Linked DNA regions of Schizosaccharomyces pombe. Each later gene encodes a partner of the first gene's protein in a complex. Each region holds a gene or a part of one and is shown on either strand. Other genes may lie near its edges.

Evidence for each region. The genes of interacting proteins can lie anywhere in the genome.
Region 2: arp42 (region 1) and snf59 share a complex: the UniProt entries of both Schizosaccharomyces pombe proteins name them as parts of the SWI/SNF global transcription activator complex.
Region 3: arp42 (region 1) and snf21 share a complex: the UniProt entries of both Schizosaccharomyces pombe proteins name them as parts of the RSC complex.

Annotation. Positions count from the first base shown.
Region 1 is NC_003424.3:4,350,526-4,358,644, forward strand, and holds arp42 (SWI/SNF and RSC complex subunit Arp42), read right to left. Parts: upstream 4,736-8,119; 5' UTR 4,652-4,735; coding exon 4,648-4,651; exon of another isoform or gene 4,572-4,647; coding exon 3,301-4,571; 3' UTR 3,053-3,300; coding exon of another isoform or gene 2,885-3,052; 3' UTR 2,835-2,884; coding exon of another isoform or gene 1,989-2,834; 3' UTR 1,808-1,988; downstream 1-1,807. Other genes in the region: nucleoporin, WD repeat Nup146, read right to left, coding at 1-95; pup1 (proteasome core particle subunit beta 2), read left to right, coding at 493-542, 608-753, 802-1,409; U1 snRNP-associated protein Usp108, read left to right, coding at 1,989-2,834, 2,885-3,052; cell wall and ascospore endo-1,3-beta-glucanase Eng2, read right to left, coding at 5,178-7,298. UniProt on the Schizosaccharomyces pombe protein: Component of the chromatin structure remodeling complex (RSC), which is involved in transcription regulation and nucleosome positioning. Controls particularly membrane and organelle development genes.
Region 2 is NC_003423.3:3,966,316-3,972,526, forward strand, and holds snf59 (SWI/SNF complex subunit Snf59), read right to left. Parts: upstream 4,430-6,211; 5' UTR 3,789-4,429; coding exon 2,241-3,788; 3' UTR 1,984-2,240; downstream 1-1,983. Other genes in the region: GTPase Grn1, read right to left, coding at 385-1,784, 1,828-1,840; 3'-5' exoribonuclease subunit Dis3, read left to right, coding at 4,654-4,846, 5,011-6,211. UniProt on the Schizosaccharomyces pombe protein: Component of the SWI/SNF complex, an ATP-dependent chromatin remodeling complex, which is required for the positive and negative regulation of gene expression of a large number of genes.
Region 3 is NC_003424.3:5,098,165-5,105,907, reverse strand, and holds snf21 (RSC-type complex ATPase Snf21), read left to right. Parts: upstream 1-1,730; 5' UTR 1,731-1,891; coding exon 1,892-1,942; exon of another isoform or gene 1,943-1,983; coding exon 1,984-5,532; 3' UTR 5,533-5,760; downstream 5,761-7,743. Other genes in the region: elongator complex histone acetyltransferase subunit Elp3, read left to right, coding at 1-1,207, 1,303-1,384; protein mug95, read left to right, coding at 5,922-6,310, 6,396-6,543; ubiquitin conjugating enzyme Ubc14, read left to right, coding at 7,092-7,133, 7,195-7,401, 7,503-7,721; TFIIIC subunit Sfc7, read left to right, coding at 7,696-7,743. UniProt on the Schizosaccharomyces pombe protein: Helicase. Component of the chromatin structure remodeling complex (RSC), which is involved in transcription regulation and nucleosome positioning. Controls particularly membrane and organelle development genes.

The sequences.
Region 1 (8,119 bases):
ATGTCTTCCTCTTCAATTTCGCTTTCAGTGACTTGTGAGCCACCCGCATTAGGTTCATTAGTATTTAAGATGGAGAAAGTATTTTCAGCATTCATGTTTTTCTTCTGTAGTCTATTAAAATATTCGATTCAGTTGCCAGCTAAATGACGAATTGCACGGCCAACGTTCACTTGTGCATAAGTAATTTGTGATATTTAGCAAATTAAATATTACAAAATAAAATATAGATACAAGTATGAAATTATAACACAACACTTGCAGTCCAACAAATAGACATACAACGTAGAAGAAAAAACCACCTTTACAAGTGCTATACACGTCGCTGGTGTTTTGTATCACATTCTTTTTTATAAATTATTTTACTACACTGCACTAACAGTTTTAACGCACCATATCCTAGATTGGTATTTCTAAGTTAGTCAGAGGAATGTGTAATCCTGGTATCCACTGCCTACTACATTGTCGATTAAGTAAATTGAATTCATAGACGCAATGATGGGAATAAATGAAAGAAAAGGTTTTGATTTTGAATACTATCAAAGGTAAGGTCAAAAGTTATAGACTTGAAAGTGAGAAGCCAGAGTAGTATATTAACGACTCACAATAGAAATTTGCTTTTGCAGGAAAAAGGGTTCCCAACTCCAAAGGCTACATCAACAGGAACTACTATCGTTGGTGTCATTGCCAAAGATTGTATTGTCCTAGGTGCTGATACTCGTGCTACAGCTGGGCCCATCATTGCTGACAAAAATTGTAAGTTGCATTTATTTATAAGCATAAGGCTTTTTCTGACCTTAGAAGGTAAAAAACTTCATTTAATTTCTCCCAATATTTGGTGTGCTGGTGCAGGAACTGCAGCAGATACGGAATTTGTTACATCAATGATTTCCTCTAATATAGAATTGCACTCTCTTTACACGAACCGTAAACCAAGAGTTGTTACTGCTTTGACAATGCTAAAGCAACATCTCTTTCGTTATCAAGGACATATTGGTGCTTACCTTGTGTTAGGTGGTTATGATTGTAAAGGTCCACATTTGTTTACCATTGCCGCACATGGCTCAAGTGATAAGTTGCCTTATGTTGCATTAGGATCCGGAAGTCTTGCAGCAATTTCTGTTTTAGAAACTAAATATCAACCAGACTTAGAACGACATGAAGCTATGGAGCTTGTTAAGGAAGCCATTGAGGCTGGTATTTTTAACGATCTAGGATCTGGTTCCAATTGTGATTTAGTAGTTATCGATGAGGAAAAAGCTACGCCATACAGAGGTTATTCCAAACCTAATGAACGTGCAACAAAACAATCTAAGTACACCTATGATCGCGGCACCACTGCAGTTCTGAAAGAGGACATTTACAAGTTCGTAACTGTTCAAGATCTTGATGAAATGCAAGTTGATGTATAGATTTTGCATCTATAAGGCTTACTATAAGGCCATGATACCTATATGTTGCAGCTCCTCTCGCTGATTATCGTTTTTATGTTCTATTTGAGATTTAAATAAAGTTTTTCTGATGCTTCACAAAATTTGATTATTATAGAAAACTATTTTTACTACTCTCCTTACGGCAACGCATTTCTTAAACTTTCGTCTGAGTAAATAGATAAAATTGTTACGTTTGTTGGTAAAAAGCCTACCATGTAATGACAAATATGAGATCATCAAACCTCAATAATCTAATTACTAAGTGAGCGATACATATCTACTTCGTTTCAGTTTTGAAACTGTGCGAGTTCGTTGGTTTAAACCGAGTCCATCGTTTGTTAGTGTTGCTTATATGCATACTCTTTACAATAACCAACTGTGATAAATCAATAATTATAACTGTTATCAATTGTGAAAGCATAAAATAATATGAAAACTTGTAGATTTCTATATTTCAAAAAATTGATTGCATAGCGAAGAATAACGCACTTCTTCCTACGTAGATGGAACACCGTTGTATGCAGCAATATCCAAATTGCCAACTAAGAGATATCCAATATGGACTCTGGTACATCAGTGGTTTCAATTTCAGCGGACATTCTTCGACCTCCCGTTTTAACAGCTGCCCAAACTTTTGGAGACAATGAAAATGAATGTCGCGTTCGATTAGTGTTAACTGCTCAGCAAGTCCAAGAATGGAATTTGTTACCGCAGGATATTCAACAGGAAATATTAAAAAATGGCCAAGTTCGTGTAGAGACATACTCTTCTTCAAATACTGCTAGAAAGATATTCATATGCACTTCAAGTGTTTCAAACCTTGCTTCTAGTATACCTGCACTTATAAAAGTTGTCACTCCTACTAAAGAAGAAGACGCTTCCTTGAACATCAATTTAGCAGTATCATCTTTAATATTGGGTTCAAAAGTTCTGATTCACCAGAACTTAATTCCTTCTTTGTTTTCTGTTTCCAATTCAACCAAGCTTTTATACTCAGCATCTCTCCTACCCAGATCCTCTGAAAGACTGGTTACCTTGGAAACTAATGAAATAGATGCTTCAGTTGTTATTGAAACTTTATTAAAATACATCCTTTCAAGAATTTCTTTCATTCCCCGCGTTAGCGTTGTACCTTACATTCCAGATGCTGCATATGGCATATATGGTTCGCCTTCTACTTTTACACAATTTAATCATATGAGTAGTATGGTAACACCTGAAAACCCTTATGGAATCCCTCCTATAGCTCTCACTAGTGCCGGAGGAAATCCTGATCCCCTTCGAACCACTCAAGTATTTCCTCACTCTGGACCCTCGATTCCTTTAAATATAGCTGCAACCCAAGTCGTATCTCAGAAAATGTCCGTTCCATCTTCTTTACTCGATCAACTTTATCACGCTATGGTAAGCTCTTATAAATATTTCAGATAAGTATACTAACTATATTGTTCTAGCCTCATAAACTGATGGAAATATCTCAGAATACAAATGCTAACATAACTGTTGAGGAATCAGACTCAAACAGCAATGAGAAGTTTATTTCGGTTGTTGGTACCTCGGAAGCTAATCAATCTGCTTTAATGCAACTTTATGCTGCTCTTATATCGTTAGGCAGAAAGTAAAAAAAAAAGCTTTAGAATGTTTCTGACAATTTTGCTTGAAATTAGAATTGTTTCATACATTTATGTTAAATTAGATTTAATAATTAATTCGAAGCACTTTGGGTATTTGATTTTGTTATATACAACGTTGATAAAGCTCAGCAAAAAAGAAAGAATTATGGACGTGTTATGCGAGATTTCGTAAATTTATTTTATACTCTCTTGGGTTTTGAAGACTTTATTTTTTGTGAGCAAATAACACAGGCGGATTACTTGCATCTTTTCTCAACAAACAAAGCTCTGTCAACACCTACTTCATCGTACTCTTGCTTAGATACCCACAAATGTTGAAAATTATCCAAACTAGCAAGAATTGAGCCACCAAACCAAACGGCGTTGCTTGTGGCAGAAGCGGTTTCTGCGGTATGAACATTGATGCGACTTCCAGTAGCCAACCGCTGAACCTCAGCTTGTAACCTTTCTGATAATCCAGGTATTAAGGAAGTTCCTCCGGTAACTACAATGTTGTTCAATAGAGGAGAACGTAATTCAGAGTCGCAAGCAAGGATGGATTGATAAACAAGTTCATGAAGACCCACGGAACCCTGTGGAGGCGTTGTTTCAGCACTTCTGCTGGCTGAAAACGAGGGATTAAAGAGTATTTCACTAATGCGAAACCTCTCTTGACCAAACTTATGTGTAACCCCATCCGGAAATTCAAAAGGCTTAGGGTTTCTAGAGGATGCTTTTGCTTCATCAAACGGGGTATCCAAAACATCTAAAACGCTTTCTTTCCATTCTTCTATGACCCTACGCTTCTGAAAAATTTCGTAAGAAGAGGTAAGATCTTGAATAGGTGGATACAGTACAGCTGGTTTCACGGCATCTGCGCTGCCGTTAGCCATATTACCTGATTGTTGAATGGCAACCGATTTTCTAGCAATTCTATAGTGTGGAGGAAATTCTATGTTCATAGTATTAAACAATTGCTCAATATTAGCATTCAAAAAGTCGCCAGCTAAACTTTGTTTAAAAATTCCTTTGCGTATAATCAATCCATCGACAACAGGAGTAACGCTAGCATTATCTGAGCCTATATCGACAATTAGCGCTGTAGATTTGCTATTGGCAAATGCCACGCAAACAGCTTGTTTTGTCAAATAAAAAGCAGGAACATGAAGTTGCTCGAAAGCAGCTTCCATGATTTGTTGTCTAACAGATTGCGGATTCCAGCTAGGCTCAGTAATCATCATAGCATACTCTGTGGGATTTACCTGTAGTTTTTCTTTCAGTCCACGCTCCCACGTGTACAAAGTAGATTCCCAATCTTGTATAATCCCATTACTTTTTCCGTTTTTGACTTCCATTCCTGGGATAGGAGCATGAATTTGTAACTCATCAACAACATATTTATTTCGACCAGTCACATCAGATCGAACACCGTAATATGAAGGTAAGATAGTCATCGGACTTTCTTCTCCTGCATAACCAAATCTTGTCCAACAACTCCCAGGATCTATTACCAATGACGGAATTTCCTCTAAAGTATGGTCATTAGCCATTTCATGCCATTGTCTTCGTCTCAACACATATTATGGTTGATTAACCGCACTTACCCATGTCTATGTAAATAGTTTAGTATAGTTTTAAATGGATAAAATATCCTTTTAGTAGATGCAGGAATTATATAATTATTAGTCTCGTAAACCTTAGTTTCGTGTGTTGGATAGCAATACTATATAAAGAAATTTAATGCATCGTTGAAAGTGTTAAGGCGTTCAGTAGTCGTGAATAGTGAACTCTACAATTTACGGCTTTTTTGATCATATACTTTAGAAATATTCATTTATTTGTTTCTTAAGCCATTGAACTAGTTAATGTTTTAAAACAATGCAGAAGCGAAAAAGTAATTTTCTGTCTTTAATATTTATGGAAAACTTCGAAGTAAGCCAACTTGAATAAGCAGTTTTTTTGCATTAATAGCTACGTTTTCTATTTCATAGTATTAGTATTTCATTAAAACTTTAAAACAAATGATAGTGTTTTAAAAAGCTAATAGGTAGCTCTCTCTATGTGTTGTTTTGAAATGGTTACATAATTTTGAAACGAAAAGTAATGCTTCAGTTTTTCATTAGCTCCCTTGCCATCATGGTGATCCACCCATACCAGCAGCCATAGCTAAGTACCAGGTTTTACTAGCTCCGTTATCAATTTTATCAGCAGTAAAGGTACTGGCAGCAAAGGTATTGTATGCAGTTTTTGGATCGTAAATTGCATAATTGGACCATAAAATACCAGTCCAATTGTTTGAAAATGTATTTATTATCGGAGCAATTTTGGCGTTCCAGTCTTGTTGAACGTAAGATGGAGAACGAAGGTATCCGCTGATAGGCGTAGTTGGAATCATGTGAATGCCTTGTTTACAATATTCTTCAGCTGAAAAGTAAGTTGCATAATCAACTTTGTTCATGAATGTAATTCCTGTCACGTAATTGCCGAGAATTTGTGAAGGCTGTACTGAAGTAGTGGGTGTCATGTATATGTAGGTATTTAAACTGTTCTTTAGGACGGCGAGCATCAAGTTTGCACGGTTGATAAGAACAGTATCATTTCTCACCATACCCCACAATTTCGTTGCATACAGAAAGTTGAAGTCTTCTGAGGTTGACTCTTCATCTTTACCGTCTCCACTTTCAAATATACCTGTTGCCCATGAATGTCCAACAAACCAGTCGAAGTTTCTAAACATAGCAAAATAGGTGTCACTTTCACTTGGATTTGCACTGTCTCTTAATAAAGCATTTACATAGCGAATGTTATCATTAACCAGCCAGGAAGGATCCAATAGACCAATTACCGCACATGCGTAAATATGATAACCCCAGTGAAAATGATGGTCATTATAGTAGGTATTACCATAATCTGCTAAAGGAGAACTATATCCTGCCGTACTGATGATACCTTTATATGTGGTATCATAAACGAGGGGATACATTTGCGTATTCGTAGTAAATCTAGCCATGGCTTGCTTCAATTTTGTCAATCCAGTGTTAGTGAGAGTGCTATCACCAAGGATTCTAGAAGCTACCAAACAAACTTGAGCATACATGGCTACTATTTTTCCAGACGTGTACATTGAGTCAAGGTTACTGGCATTTACGACATCGAAGTTAATATCAGTTGCACAAGCTGCACGAATCGCGGCTAAAGCAGTAGGAGAATACGTATTGCTTCCACCATTCCAAGGAATTGGTAAAAAACCTACCTGCGTTGGAAGATTTTTTTCGATTAAATGCCAAGTTTTAGTAGCATAGGCAAACATTATACCCATTGTTGTACTGGCTAAGCCTAAACCTGTTTTGTACGCTTGAGTGTCAGAACCAAAACTTTGCATATGATGGGGAAGAGCAAACATTAGCGGATTTAAGTTAGTATATCCAGCTGTAGCGAAACGAAACCAATATTCCCCGGTGGTACCGCTAACTTGAGCTGATAGAGAAATAGACGTAGTATATACACCAGCAGAAGCATCATAGATGGTATCCGGATATGAATTATTCACGCTTTCGTTTGGAACTTTACATATTTGTATGAGACCGGTAAATTTTGTAGAAGTAGTTAGTTGAGAATTCGAAGCAAGAGTCAAATTGAAGGTACTGCTCGAACTCGTAGGAAATGCGTAGAGAAACCAGATCTTTCCATCTGTCAATTGAATTCTATATTTGTAGCCCCTACTGAAATTTATTTTAGTAATTGATGAGAAAAGGATGGAGGAATTGAATACAGGAGTCAAATTGGTATAATAACCACTTACAAATCCCATGCCAGCAACAATGGGTAGGATTATAGTCCCTGAACCAGAGGTTGTAGCGCTAAGAGTAGCCTGGATAGAGAAATGACGAGATTGGTCAAGGGATAAGAGGTTACCCGAAGCAAATTCTCGTGCAGAAATGATTATGGAATAAAGTCCAGCAGGATTAAAGTAATATTGGCATGGAACCGATTCTGGGTCTGGTCCAAACACGCGTTGGCTATCATCAATATGTGAAATCGCAAGTCCATAATAGCTGCTACCATTGAGCCAAGTTACTGAGTAAGGATGTGACCATGATGGATTATGACGGGTGCCAATGTACAAGTTACCATAAAACTTGTTTGTTTGAATTGGAAACAAATTACTTGTTAGCCCAAGAGGAGGAGATGGGTGTGCTCTTGATGGAAAAACCGGATTGATAGGTCCAGTATAGATTGGTACTAAAACATCCATTATGTCGTCTGACTATGAATTGAGCAAAAAAATTTGATAACGAGTGAAAGAATAAGAAAGGATCGAAGCAAAATTTCTAAAAGTCTAATTTCGGATGCTTTTTCGAACTGTCGATGACGGGTTTTACACTAACGAGAGTTTTAGGAGTATGCCACCTCAAAAATTTGGAACTAACTAAAAAATGAAACAACACTCAATTATTTGTCTTAAATAACTTAGCGAAAGTAACAGTAAAGACGGATAAAAGCACTGCGCTGAGAAATTCACCGGTCCTAAAATATTTATGAATTCACGCAAAAGTACTGAAGAAAAACTGTTAAAAACAGTAGTTATTACTTTCACTATTAAAACCCGATAGAGGGTGAGGACAGGTTGCAAATTCTACTCAAAACTGATATAAACCCCATCTCATGGTATCATTGGTTCAACGACTAAGCTATAATATTAGATCTAAACAAAAAACAAAAGAAACATATTAAAACTTTACAAGTAACTTAATAGATTAATGCAAATACTGCATAAACCTTTGTATATTTATTTATTGATTTTACATACTGCAAGTTTTTGTTTGATTTAATTTAATGCGATATTGTAAGCAAAACATTTTTTAGTAATGCCAAACAATAGTAAATAATTGGAAAACAAATAAAAAAAAGAAAAAGCCAATGTAAATGAAAAGAAAAATAAAAATAAATAAAAAGAAGGATAAATGAAAAGCAAGCTTAAAAAAAATGATCGCAAACACTGATTATAAGCTCTAAACACAGTTAATGCCAAAATTTCATTAAAACACCATTCAACAACAAAACTCTTTCATTCAT
Region 2 (6,211 bases), on another chromosome or scaffold:
TTGTTTGTGTTTATCCTATCAATTGATATAAAAATGAAATGAAACTTATAACTGCACGTTAGTATCAATGTCATTTTCCGTACATATTCAATTGACTTTATTTAAGCCAGCATGCATTGATTTAATAATTTCCCGTATTAGCGAACCTATTACTTAAAACTTCTCCCATATCAAACATTACTTTTACAAGTAAATGTAAAACAACACATTCAAGAATACGGCATATATGCAAAAAAAATTATTTATATATTAATTCAAAAAGTAATAGCTAGTAACCATCAACACCTAAAGATTTTTAAAACCCGAAGAAAAACCGCAACCGAAAACCAAATCCCAAAATATAAGCTCTAAGCAACAATAGCTTTTTTCGTAAGTTGAAAACTCTCAAAAATCATTAAGGTCAAATTCTTTGGCCCACTCAGTAACGATTTGAGTATCCTGAACTTCAGATGAGTTCTTTTCGTTTATAACCTCAGGCTCGGCCCACCATTCGATACGACCAGCATGCCAGTCATTAATGACAATATTGGCAGCAGCGTTAAGATTTGGAATTCCACCGCGACCTAGACGACCACGCTTACGAGCAATATTGACTAAAAAATCAGTAGCAGTGTCTATATCGGATGTATTCAATAGAGGAGGAAGCTCATATCTTTGAAACATTCTTTCCAATTGTCCTGGAACTCTGCTAAGGAATTGCAAAATGTAAGAAGCAACGGCAACGGGATCATCAACTTTGGTGGATGAAACAGCATTAAGCATTACAAGACGATACAAATCGTCTTTAGAATCACTAGAAGGAAAAACAATACCAGGACTATCGACCAAACGTAATTTGTTATCTAGCTTCACCTCTCGCAAAGAAGTAGTCATTCCGGCAACGTTTCCGGCAGGACAAGGTGCAGAACGACCATTCGCAGAACGGTTGACAAGAGCGTTAATAACAGATGATTTACCAACGTTGGGGTATCCAATTACACCGACTGTAAGAGAGCTTTTAAGCTTCTTCTTGGCTGAGTAAGACTTGAGTGATTTAAGAAGATTGGAGATAGTGGAACTAGCAGAAGCCGACTGGTGCTTTAAATTTGAGTTTCCAGATCCTGAAGCGGAACGCATAGGAATCGTAGGAAAGAAATTGCGGAGATAGGTAACCCACTTGTTGAGTACTTCTGATGGTACTAAGTCAATTTTGTTGATAACGAAAATAAGACGCTTTTCTTCAGCAGAAGATGCTAAAACTTGACGTTCAACGTCTTTTGAACGAGTCCCTTCAGGATCACGAGCGTCAAGAACGTAAAGAATCACATCTGACGCTTCAACAACTTTTTTGAACTCCTTATCATATGCCTTTCTAGAGGTATCTGCCTTCACTGATGCCTCATAAGACTCGGAGTCAACTAATAAAGGGGCCTCTCCAAGGTTGTCTTCTTCCATCACAAACTCTTCCTCATCATCTGGGTTAGACGCTTGTGCAGCCTCAGCTATCTTTGAAATCATTAGGGATCCATTTTCATCAACAGCGTCTTCCTCTTCCATTGCAGCATCAACTTGTCCTGAAGCACGACGAGCCAATTTTTCTTCTTCTCTAATGCGCTTCTGTTCTTCGATCTCAGCAAGAATTTTATCCTTGTAGGGGAATGAGTTAGGAATACCTGGATCTTTAGGAATTCTGCTTTTCCATTGCGGATTTTTTTTATCAGCTCTTTTTTGCTTGCGTTTGCTCTCTGCAGCTTTCTTTTCAATTCTGCTACGAAGACGAGTAGTTCTTCTTTTACTCTTTTTTTCTTAAGAAATAAGTTAGAAATAGTTACGCGTGCATATACTTACTTAAGGAAACCATTGTAAAAAATGCTGTAGTTACAAATTTTACAGTTGGTTGTCTAGAGAAAAAACATTACCGATTATTCTTTTTTAACCCCAAATGCTATAGTACGGAACAGTACATTAACTTAATTTACGATATGTAACAATTTTGGATTGTACCTCGTTATTTTTAAAGTTGAAGCTAATTAGTAATTTATATTCACATTTAGAAAGATTTCCTTAGTTTAGCAATGCTTCAGTATTTTAAAAGCTAGTGATCTTTGAAATGTTGTTCAGTATTTGTGAAAAGAGTTATAGAAAAGTAAAAAATATTATGTATTTAGATTAAATTAAAGAAACCAATAGCAACTAGCCTAAATCCACTTGATCGAAAATATGATAGCTCAGCAATGCAATTAATAATTTTTAATATAAAGTCATGAAACAGATCTGTTGACACCTCGTAATTTTGTATAATAACTTAACCTTGCTTCTTTCCTTAGATTTCTTGTCCTCATGACTTTAGAATTGTAAAAAGAAGCACCCTGAGCAAGCGTCAAAATATCCTTACCTTGAAATGGTGAGGGTGAATTTTGATTATCCATACTTTTTAGCTCAAGCTTTACAGAGGAAGAACGAGTGCTTCCATTAGCCATGACATCCATATGATAATACTCATCGTCAGCCCAGCTAATGTTTTTTTCAATAAGAGCTTTATGACTCTCTGGATCTATCGTTCCCTTCATCAATATTCTAGCACCGAATGCCAAAAACATTTGTCTAGCTGGAACAATGCTTAGTTGTCGAAATCTAAAATTAGATGCCAACAAACCCATTTCAACCATTTGGTCCCTCTCACTTTGTGTTGTAAGTACTTTTCGTAAAGATGGCGTCTTATGAAACATGAAGTAACTATCCTTAAAGCCGAGTAATCTTGAGCATTCTGTACCAAGCATATACAACACTTTGCCACGTCCTTCTAGGCAAAATGTTTTAGCTCGATATTCAAAACCATCCGCTAGTTTGCCATACGTGTCAATTACTTCACTTATGTATTTATCTTTGTCCTCAATCTTTTCTGTTATGGGGGTTACACTCGTGATTTGAGCAATGTCATCACTAATTTCCTTTTTACTTAATGCTTCATCAACTGGAGGTTCTTTGCATTTTGAAGGTGCGGTATCTTTTAGGCTGTTATTTGGATGAATCAACAAATTACCCTCCTGTTTTACTGCAGAATCAGATTTTGAAAGACTATTTTCTGAAAATTCATCACCCATTTTTTCGGGAATTTTGGAGTAAACAGGTTCTTCATTTTTTGAATCAACATGATGTATCGGTTCCTCCCTGATTGATTTAGTATTATGTTCAGACTCTTCATTTTTTGATTCAGTGTGATACTCAGGTTCATTATGCTCTGAATCAATGCGATGTATAGGTTCTTCAATTTTTGAATTAACGTGCAGCTCAGGTTTTTCAATTTTCGAATCATCACACTGTTTAGGTCCTTCGTTTCTAAAATCACCAGAAGGTTTGGGTTCTTCAATTTTAAAATTTTTCTGATTTTCAGATTCATCCATATTTGAATTATCAAGATTTGTAGATTCTTTATTTGAACTATCATGATGTTTAGGTTCTTCCGACATGTTTAAATCATCAAGATTTGTAGATTCTTTATTTGAATTATCATGATGTTTAGGTTCTTCCAACATATTTGAATCATCAAGATTTGTAGATTCTTTTTTTGAATTATCATGATGTTCAGGTTCTTCCAACATGTTTAAATCATCAAGATTTGTAGATTCTTTATTTGAATTATCATGATATTTAGGTTCTTCCAACATGTTTAAATCATCAAGATTTGTAGATTCTTTATTTGAATTATCATGATGTTCAGGTTCTTCTATATTCACCCTATTCGACTCACCAGATTCTTCTTTATTTAAGTCATCAGAATGTTCAAGTGTGATATCTTCTTCTTCCATAAGAAAAGTTGGTGTCAAACGAAAATGTTACGAATATCAATTCCAAAACCAAGCGTGATTTTATAGACTTGTACCTAATTTCACAGTCTTTTACCTTAACGAGTGTCAATAAATATTTTAAACAATGTGCGGTGGTAGGGTCGCAGCGTGGAACAGGCGTAGCAGAAAAACTGAAATTCGACGTTACTCTACGATTTTAATAAAACCGAAAACCTTTGTTAAAATTTCATAAGCTGAACACTTTTGCAAAATTATTTACTTTTGCTTGGCGTTTCCAAATTCAAATAAACACTCTAAAAGTAATAAGATCAGAAGCTGCTTGCTTCCACACAAAGTAATTTGAAAGGAAGTTATGTATGCCATTTGAACTTTTATCTGCTTTTAATGTAAAGTTCCAATTCAAACAATAGTCTGGTGGGTCATAATTTTAGGTGGGAGTTATAAATTCAGTTGAAATAACATTTAATTGTTTCAACTTTATCATTTATTACTTAAAAAAATAAAATTAGCTAATAAATATTACAAACATATTTATAACTTGTACGTTAGATTAAGTAGTGGACTGGAAACCAAAAAATTAACCTTAAAAGGTATATTTTTTCTTAATCTTTAATGAAATTTAAATAACTGCGTTTTGTTTTAAAGAAAAAACCTTCAAATACTCAGTTTTGTCTGCAATTTTGCTCTATTTACAAATATTACGAGACCCAGTCTGTTCTCGGTGTGTGAAATATGAGAAGTTTTTATCCTGCGTTAAAATAATAACGTGTAGTGTTGTGTTGTGAATGCCGTAAGTGATAGTAGCTTTTCCAGGGTCTAAAACTTTTCTAGTAAAGCAATCTTCAGTGTTCTGAAGATTTACAGGATGAGCACTGTTTCAGGATTGAAGAGGCCTCAAAGCTCCGAGAAGAATCACAGAGATAGAGTATTTGTTCGTGCAACCAGGGGGAAGGTTCAAAAAGTTGTTCGTGAGCAATATTTACGAAATGATATACCCTGTCAAAGTCGGGCTTGCCCTCTTTGCCGTTCTAAACTTCCAAAGGACTCGAGGGGAAATGGTAAGTATTAAAGGAATCCCACATGAGTAATTTGCATTGGTCTGGAATTAGTTGGTATAATTTTCTGTGAAGTTAATTTCTGAGAGCTATTGAAACTAATTCATTTACTATTCAATTTCATTTTTTTTTAATGTGAAGCAAAATTTAATTAACTCTTACGATAGTGTTAGAGCCTATTTTATCAGAGAAGCCCATGTTCTTGGAGAAATTTGGGCATCATTATTTAATCCCTGATTCCAATATATTTTACCATTGTATTGATGCCTTAGAACATCCAAATAATTTTTTCGATGTCATTATTCTGCAAACGGTTTTTTCAGAAATTTCTTCAAAATCTATTCCTCTATACAATAGAATGAAACGCCTTTGCCAAGAGAAAACTAAAAGATTTACCCCTTTTAGTAATGAATTTTTTGTTGATACGTTCGTTGAAAGATTGGATGATGAATCTGCTAATGACCGTAATGATCGTGCAATTCGCAACGCGGCTAGTTGGTTTGCCAGTCATTTGGCCAGCTTAGGTATTAAGATTGTTTTATTAACCGATGATCGCGAAAATGCTCGCTTGGCTGCTGAACAAGGTATTCAAGTCTCTACATTGAAAGACTACGTTCAGTACCTGCCCGACTCTGAAATTTTACTGGATATGGTGTCGGCCATTGCGGACGCCATTGCTTCTAAAGAGCAGGTAGAGTCTGGAACAAAAAACGTATATGAACTACATTGGTCTATGTCTAGGCTGTTAGCTTGTATAAAAAATGGGGAAGTGCATAAAGGACTTATCAATATTAGTACTTATAATTATTTAGAAGGTTCTGTTGTTGTTCCTGGTTACAACAAGCCCGTGCTAGTTTCAGGAAGAGAAAATTTAAATCGTGCTGTGCAAGGTGATATCGTTTGCATTCAAATATTACCTCAAGATCAATGGAAAACGGAAGCTGAAGAGATAGCTGATGATGATGAAGACGTTGTTGTGAGTACTGCAGCAGAACCCGATTCGGCCAGAATAAATGACTTGGAACTGATTACGAAAAGAAATGCTCATCCAACCGCTAAGGTGGTTGGTATTTTAAAAAGGAATTGGCGCCCATACGTTGGCCATGTTGATAATGCTACTATTGCCCAGTCAAAAGGCGGTTCTCAGCAAACAGTTTTGCTAACACCTATGGATAGGCGAGTACCTAAGATTCGATTTCGAACAAGGCAAGCGCCTAGACTTGTAGGTCGTCGTATTGTAGTAGCTATAGACTTATGGGATGCTTCTAGTCGTTATCCAGAAGGTCATTTTGTTCGAGATCTTGGAGAAATGGAAACCAAGGAAGCTGAAACTGAAGCTCTTCTTCTTGAATATGATGTTCAGCACCG
Region 3 (7,743 bases), 750 kb from region 1:
ATTTTGAATACTCGACACAGTCGTACACTGGTTATGAACCAACTAGTATGCGTGCGATTCGCGCTCGTTATGATCCTTATGAACAGGCTAGAGGACGTGTTGAGCAACTGCGGTCGTTAGGCCACACAGTCGATAAAGTAGAATACATTATCATGGGCGGTACCTTCATGTCATTACCTGAATCCTACCGTCACACATTTATTGCTAATTTACACAATGCTCTTTCAGGAGCTACGACTGAAGATTTAGATGAAGCAGTCAAATTTTCTGAGCAATCTGAGACAAAATGTGTTGGCATTACTATTGAGACGCGTCCTGATTATTGCCTAGACCAACATTTGGATGAAATGCTTCGTTACGGATGTACTCGTTTGGAAATTGGTGTCCAAAGTGTTTACGAGGATGTCGCCAGAGACACCAATAGAGGACATACTGTTAAAGCTGTGTGCGAAACATTCCAGTTGGCTAAGGATACTGGATACAAGGTGGTTACGCATATGATGCCTGATTTGCCTAATGTTGGTATGGAAAGAGATATATTCCAATTTCAAGAGTACTTTGAAAACCCTGCATTCCGTACTGATGGTTTAAAGCTCTATCCTACATTAGTTATTCGTGGTACTGGTTTATATGAATTATGGAAAACGGGAAGATATAAAAACTATACCCCCAATGCCTTGGTGGATCTTATTGCTAGAATTCTCGCTTTGGTACCTCCATGGACCCGTATTTACCGTATTCAAAGAGATATCCCAATGCCGCTTGTAAGTTCAGGCGTAGAAACAGGAAATCTCAGAGAACTTGCTTTAAATAGAATGCGAGATTTAGGCACAAAGTGTCGAGACATTCGTGCTCGTGAAGTAGGTATGCAAGAAGTGCATCATAAAATTCATCCTGAGCAAGTTGAATTACTTCGCCGAGACTATACTGCTAATGGCGGATGGGAAACGTTTTTATCATATGAAGATCCCAAACAAGATATCTTGATTGGTTTGTTACGACTTCGCCAATGTTCCGATAAGACATATCGACCAGAATTTACTTCTCAGCCTACCTCACTTGTTCGCGAACTTCACGTGTATGGCAGTGCCGTTCCTGTTCACAGTAGAGATCCGAAGAAGTTCCAACATCAAGGTTTTGGAACATTACTTTTAGAAGAAGCCGAGCGGATAGCTAAGTATGAGCATGGTAGTAAAAAGATCAGTGTGTAAGTTGTCTTTAAACTCTTCAAATGGACTTCAAATTTTGACCTTCTGAAGACTTAATCCTTATTTTTTTTTTACTTTACTAACATTACTTTAGAATTTCGGGTGTTGGCGTTCGAAAATATTATCAAAAATTGGGATACACATTGGATGGTCCTTACATGTCTAAATGGCTTTAGCCTCTAATATAATTTTAAGACTACTTAAGTTTGTATAAAATATCATTTTTGGTTGGGTGTGTTAAAATCTTTAATATTAACTCAGTTCGCAAGTTTTTTGAGTTGTCGATTTGGGATGTGTGCAATTTCATATACTATTTAATTTCGTGTATAAAAAGAGAAAAGTGTTTAATTACTTTCCTCTTTATTAGATGAAATCTGAGGTGTAGTTAGACATATATATGTACCATTCTTTACTAATATTCATATTTTTTTGCGTTCTCTTTAGACAACCTTATTTAGAATAACGATAAGACTGATGCCCTGTTTGCCACAATGGAGGGTTGGAAGTGCAGTATGCCTTTCCAACAACCTAGCGTTTAACGATTTGCAAGAATTGGCAAGTAAGCACTTTTTACTAAGGGCGTACAATCACTTTTGTGATAGAATTTTGTTTGTTTTTTATTTCAATAATAACGACCTGGAAATCGTCTATTTATGTGGTAATTTGGATTTTTGATCACAAATATGCGTGCAGAGAAGCAATACACGAGAAATGAAGTGGAAGAAACAATTGTGGTAAGTGTTGTAGGGACCTAAGGAGTTAACTGTTTTTTTAGCGATGGAAGAAATTGAAAGAGTCTGGCGCTACTGAGCACGATAATACGGAATATGCTCAATTGTGTGATGTTTTGCGATCAGCACAGTCAGAAATTGAAGCACGGAGGGATTTAAAAGGACACATTAAAAGGTGTTTCTCTTCCGTAGATAAGAATACGGAGAAACTGATTTTGAAACAACAAGTTTTGGCTTACAAAAAGCTTTCTCAAAATCTTCCAGCACCCGACGACTGTATACTATCTGTGTTACTTAGGCTTTCCAAAGATGAGCAATTGCTTCAGAGTATAGTTAAACAGCCTTTACAGAACTCTAAAGTCGATGGGAAGGTGCGACGCGATTTTGGCTCTTGTCAAATAACACCATCAGCAAAGCAGCAAAGAAAATACTTGCAATATCAAATTTCGGAAGATGATGCTATAAAGAATAGGATGTTCCGACGAATGTCGGATTTGGAAAGCTATCCGGCTGTGATGCGGGATGTTGCAGAATTAAAAGATGACAACGAACGTTTAAACTTGGATACTATCAAACGTAATGCGCTAGTTGAATTGAAGAAATTACGACTCATCAAACAGCAAGAATCTCTTCGCCATCAAGTGATGCATTGCCAACCGCATTTACGTACCATAGTTAATGCCGTAGAACGCATGTCATGCCGCCGTCCTAAGCTAGTTCCTCAAGCTACACGCCTGACTGAAGTATTAGAGCGCCAGCAAAGAAGTGATCGCGAAAGAAGGTTAAAGCAAAAACAGTGCGATTATCTGCAAACTGTATGTGCCCATGGTCGAGAGATTAATGTCCGAACCAAGAATGCTCAGGCAAGGGCTCAGAAAGCGAATCGCGCTGTATTGGCGTATCATTCGCATATCGAAAAAGAAGAACAGCGTCGTGCTGAACGCAATGCAAAGCAAAGATTACAAGCCTTGAAGGAGAATGATGAGGAGGCCTACTTGAAACTTATTGATCAAGCGAAGGATACAAGAATTACTCATTTATTACGGCAAACTGATCATTACTTGGATTCCTTGGCGGCTGCTGTTAAAGTACAACAGTCTCAATTTGGTGAATCGGCCTATGACGAAGATATGGATCGCCGAATGAATCCTGAAGACGATAGAAAGATTGATTATTATAATGTTGCTCATAATATTCGTGAAGTCGTCACTGAACAGCCTTCTATTTTAGTAGGAGGAAAGCTGAAGGAATATCAACTACGTGGTTTGCAATGGATGATTTCACTGTATAATAATCATTTGAACGGTATTCTTGCTGATGAAATGGGCTTAGGTAAAACTATTCAGACAATCTCTCTTATTACCCACTTAATCGAGAAAAAACGGCAGAATGGGCCATTTTTGGTAATTGTTCCTTTATCGACCTTAACAAATTGGACCATGGAATTTGAAAGATGGGCGCCATCAATTGTAAAGATTGTTTACAAAGGACCTCCACAAGTTCGAAAAGCTTTGCATCCTCAAGTTCGTCACTCTAATTTCCAAGTTCTTTTGACGACATACGAGTATATCATAAAAGATCGACCACTTTTAAGTCGTATTAAATGGATTTATATGATCATTGATGAAGGACATCGTATGAAAAACACACAATCCAAGTTAACAAATACTTTAACTACCTATTATTCATCACGTTATCGTCTTATCCTTACAGGAACTCCTTTACAAAACAATCTTCCGGAACTTTGGGCTTTGCTTAATTTTGTATTACCACGGATTTTTAATTCCATTAAAAGTTTTGATGAGTGGTTCAATACTCCTTTTGCTAATACAGGCGGGCAGGATAAGATGGAACTTACAGAAGAAGAATCTTTGCTTGTCATTCGCCGTCTTCACAAGGTCTTACGTCCTTTTCTTTTGCGACGTCTTAAAAAGGATGTTGAAGCCGAGCTTCCTGATAAAGTTGAGAAGGTTATTCGTTGTCAGATGTCGGGGCTTCAGCAAAAGCTCTATTATCAAATGAAGAAGCATGGAATGTTGTATGTGGAAGATGCTAAACGCGGTAAAACTGGTATCAAAGGCTTACAGAATACGGTCATGCAGTTGAAGAAAATCTGTAATCATCCTTTTGTGTTTGAAGACGTGGAACGTTCAATTGATCCAACAGGATTTAACTATGATATGTTGTGGAGAGTTTCTGGCAAATTCGAACTGTTAGACCGTATTTTGCCTAAACTGTTTCGTTCTGGTCATCGTATATTAATGTTTTTCCAAATGACTCAAATTATGAATATCATGGAGGATTACCTGCATTATCGTCAGTGGAGATATCTGCGGCTTGATGGGTCTACCAAAGCTGATGATCGTTCAAAGTTATTGGGAGTATTTAATGATCCGACTGCTGAAGTAAATTTGTTTTTGTTAAGTACTCGTGCTGGTGGACTTGGGCTTAATCTTCAAACTGCTGATACTGTAATAATTTTCGACTCGGATTGGAACCCACATCAAGATTTGCAGGCACAAGATCGTGCTCATCGTATTGGACAAACCAAAGAGGTTAGAATTTATCGACTGATTACTGAAAAATCGGTAGAGGAAAACATTCTTGCTAGAGCCCAATATAAATTGGACATTGATGGCAAAGTTATTCAAGCAGGAAAATTTGACAACAAGTCAACACCAGAGGAACGTGAGGCGTTTTTGCGTTCGCTCTTGGAGAACGAAAACGGTGAAGAAGAAAATGATGAGAAGGGCGAGTTAGATGACGATGAACTCAATGAGATACTTGCCCGAGGTGACGATGAGTTGCGACTTTTCAAACAAATGACTGAAGATTTGGAGAGGGAATCGCCATATGGTAAGAATAAAGAAAAAGAAAGACTCATCCAAGTAAGTGAGCTTCCTGAATTTTACCAAAGGGAAGAACCTGAGAAAACCACCGACTTGTTGCAGGAAGAACCACTCGGTAGAGGAGCCCGCAGACGTACCCCAGTTGTATATGACGAAGCAGTACGAGATGCTCAGTGGATGGCAGAAATGGATATGGAATCTGAAGCTCGTCCAACTCGTGGTCGCCCAAAGCGTAATATAGCGAGTGTTGACGAAACACCTGCTCTTACACTCAATGGAAAGCCAAAGAAGAAACGTGGACCGGCTCCGGATACACTTACTTCAGAGCACCGTTCGCTACTTCGTCGTGTGTGCCTTGAAATATACAAGGCCGTTAATGAGCTTGAAGATGATAATGGTCGTCCTCTGAATAAACTATTTTTGGAGCTTCCTAGTAAGAAGTTATATCCTGATTATTACATGATAATTAAATCCCCTATCGCACTTGATGCAATTAGAAAGCATATCAATGGCACTTTCTATAAAACTTTAGAAGCTATGAAATCGGATCTTATGACAATGTTTAATAATGCTAGGACGTATAATGAGGAAGGTTCTTTTGTCTATGAAGATGCGAACAAAATGCAAACGGCTATGGAAACCAAAATTGAAGAACTGGAAGAGGATGGCACATTAGCAACGCTTCGCGGAATGGAGGCGGAGGCTACATCGCAATTGGAAGACAGAATTGAAAATGAGGCTTGATTAATTGCTTTTTTTGAACTACTATAGATGCAAGTGCTGAAGTCTCATAAAAACACAGATTGTCTTTTTTTTGTTTTTTTTTGCATCTTGAATGTATTCAGTAATTAGTTTTTTGTGAGATAGAGGATGGGGTGTTCATAGAATCTGTATATTATTATATATATATGCATTACCGAGATTGATTTCTTAAATTAATATGCTCAATTTAAAATATATTGAAAATTTTTGTGTCAATGGATTTATAAATTCTGAATATGATAGCGCTGTATTGGCAACACTAGCTCAGATGATAAATGTACTTCTTTGGAAAAAAAGCGAAATGAGTAAATACCTCTATTTGTATATTTGCTAGTGTTTTGAATTACATGGAAGTTGCATAATTATCTCCGATGAACTTGTTTGTTTACATAGCACAGAATCCTACATTAACCAAATGGTTTTTTTGTTGTGTATGTACTATTCTTACAATGCCATTTTTTAAAAAGCCGTATAGGAAAAGGGGAATATCGAGAACGCCATATGAATGGCTTACCTATGCTGATAAATGTGTTATTGAACTTAGCAAGTCCGAATTGAAGCCCAATGAAGAAAAAGAATTACCAAAGGACATTAAAGAAGACTGCAAAACCGTAGAAGAGAAGGAAAAGGTCGTTCCAAGGAAGCCACTGCAATCTGAAGGGATTAATGAAGACGATTCCCAAAAAAATGGAGAATTAATTGTCTTGCATGGGATTAATCACCAAGCTGCGATGTTGACAGCTTGCGGTCTTTTCATGGTGTAAGTTACGACGAAAATAATGAGTGTAAATAAACATTCACAGATGAAAAGCGACGCAAGAAGGAAAATATGCTAATCATGGTAGTACATCTTCTAACACCAACAAATGGAAAATTGCCTTTGCTTCCTTTCTTTTAGGGATGTTTTTCACACAATTTGGCTTCCAAAAAAGTGAACGCAGCATTAATGCTGAAAAGCTAGAAAGCATAGAAAAGCCTGAAAATGACAACTAGGTTGTATTAAGTCGTGCTACGGCACAGACTAGATTGCAAAATTAGCTTTCTCATTAGCAATTAAATTTTTTAAAATAAAGTTAACAGGCTCATAGATGCCTAGTTTCAACTTGAGATGAAAGCCGCTTTCAATTGAAAATCTAGCTTTTCGAAAGTTTAAAGAGCGTCTGAAATGAATGCGTATTCTTCCACTCTATATTTGTTGTAAAAAGAATTAAATTAAATCTCGGCTAGCGACGCTGATTAAATATGTATACAGAAGTACATATTCTATTAAGATTGATTTCAATGTGTAACTATCAGACTCGGATTGCCAAGTTGTTATTGTAAATCCAACCAAAAACTTCAATCAATACAAAAATACTGTCCGTGATATACATCCTAGACTAAGTTGTAAATCACAGCCCAGTAATGTGCCCTATTTTCGCATGATGAATTTATATTTAATGTTAGAATCAATTTTTCCTTAAACAATACAACAATTATTAATTGCCATTAAACGTTCAGTAAAGTCCTCGCATGTAGTTACTGCTCTCTACCCTTACCAAATGGCGTCTGCATCACCTTCATCTTCCAGAAGACTGACAAAAGTAAGTAAATTTTTATATTTTTACTTTATTCTTACATAGCTAATATTCAAATGGTAACCAGGAATATTCTGACTTGCGAGAACACCCTATTCCAGATATTCGAGTTAACCTAGTTGACGACAATCTATTTCACTGGGCTTGTACAGCTCTTGGTCCATCGGATTCGGTGTACGCAGGGGGAAAATTTCATTTCTCATTAAAATTTCCTTTGGACTATCCATTTCAGCCTCCTACTATTGAGTTTACTACCAGAATATACCATCCAAATGTAAGCATTTTATCGTATTTCTGTATGGAGTAATCATTGATCACATTTTTAAACGAGATACATAATTATTTATATATTTATGAATTTTCTAACCTGTTTAGTTTGACTCTGAAGGAAACGTTTGTTTGGCCATTTTGAAACAACAAGTTTTCAAACCCAGCATCAAACTGAGGAGTGTTTTGGAGCAAATTTTGCAACTTCTTAGGGAACCTAATCCTGACGATCCTCTTGTAGCTTCCATCGCTGAACAATATCGAAACGATCGCCCTTCGTTTGACAAAATTGCTAGGGATTATGTCGAGCAATTCGCCAAGTCTTGAAACTGACGTTGATGACGTTGAA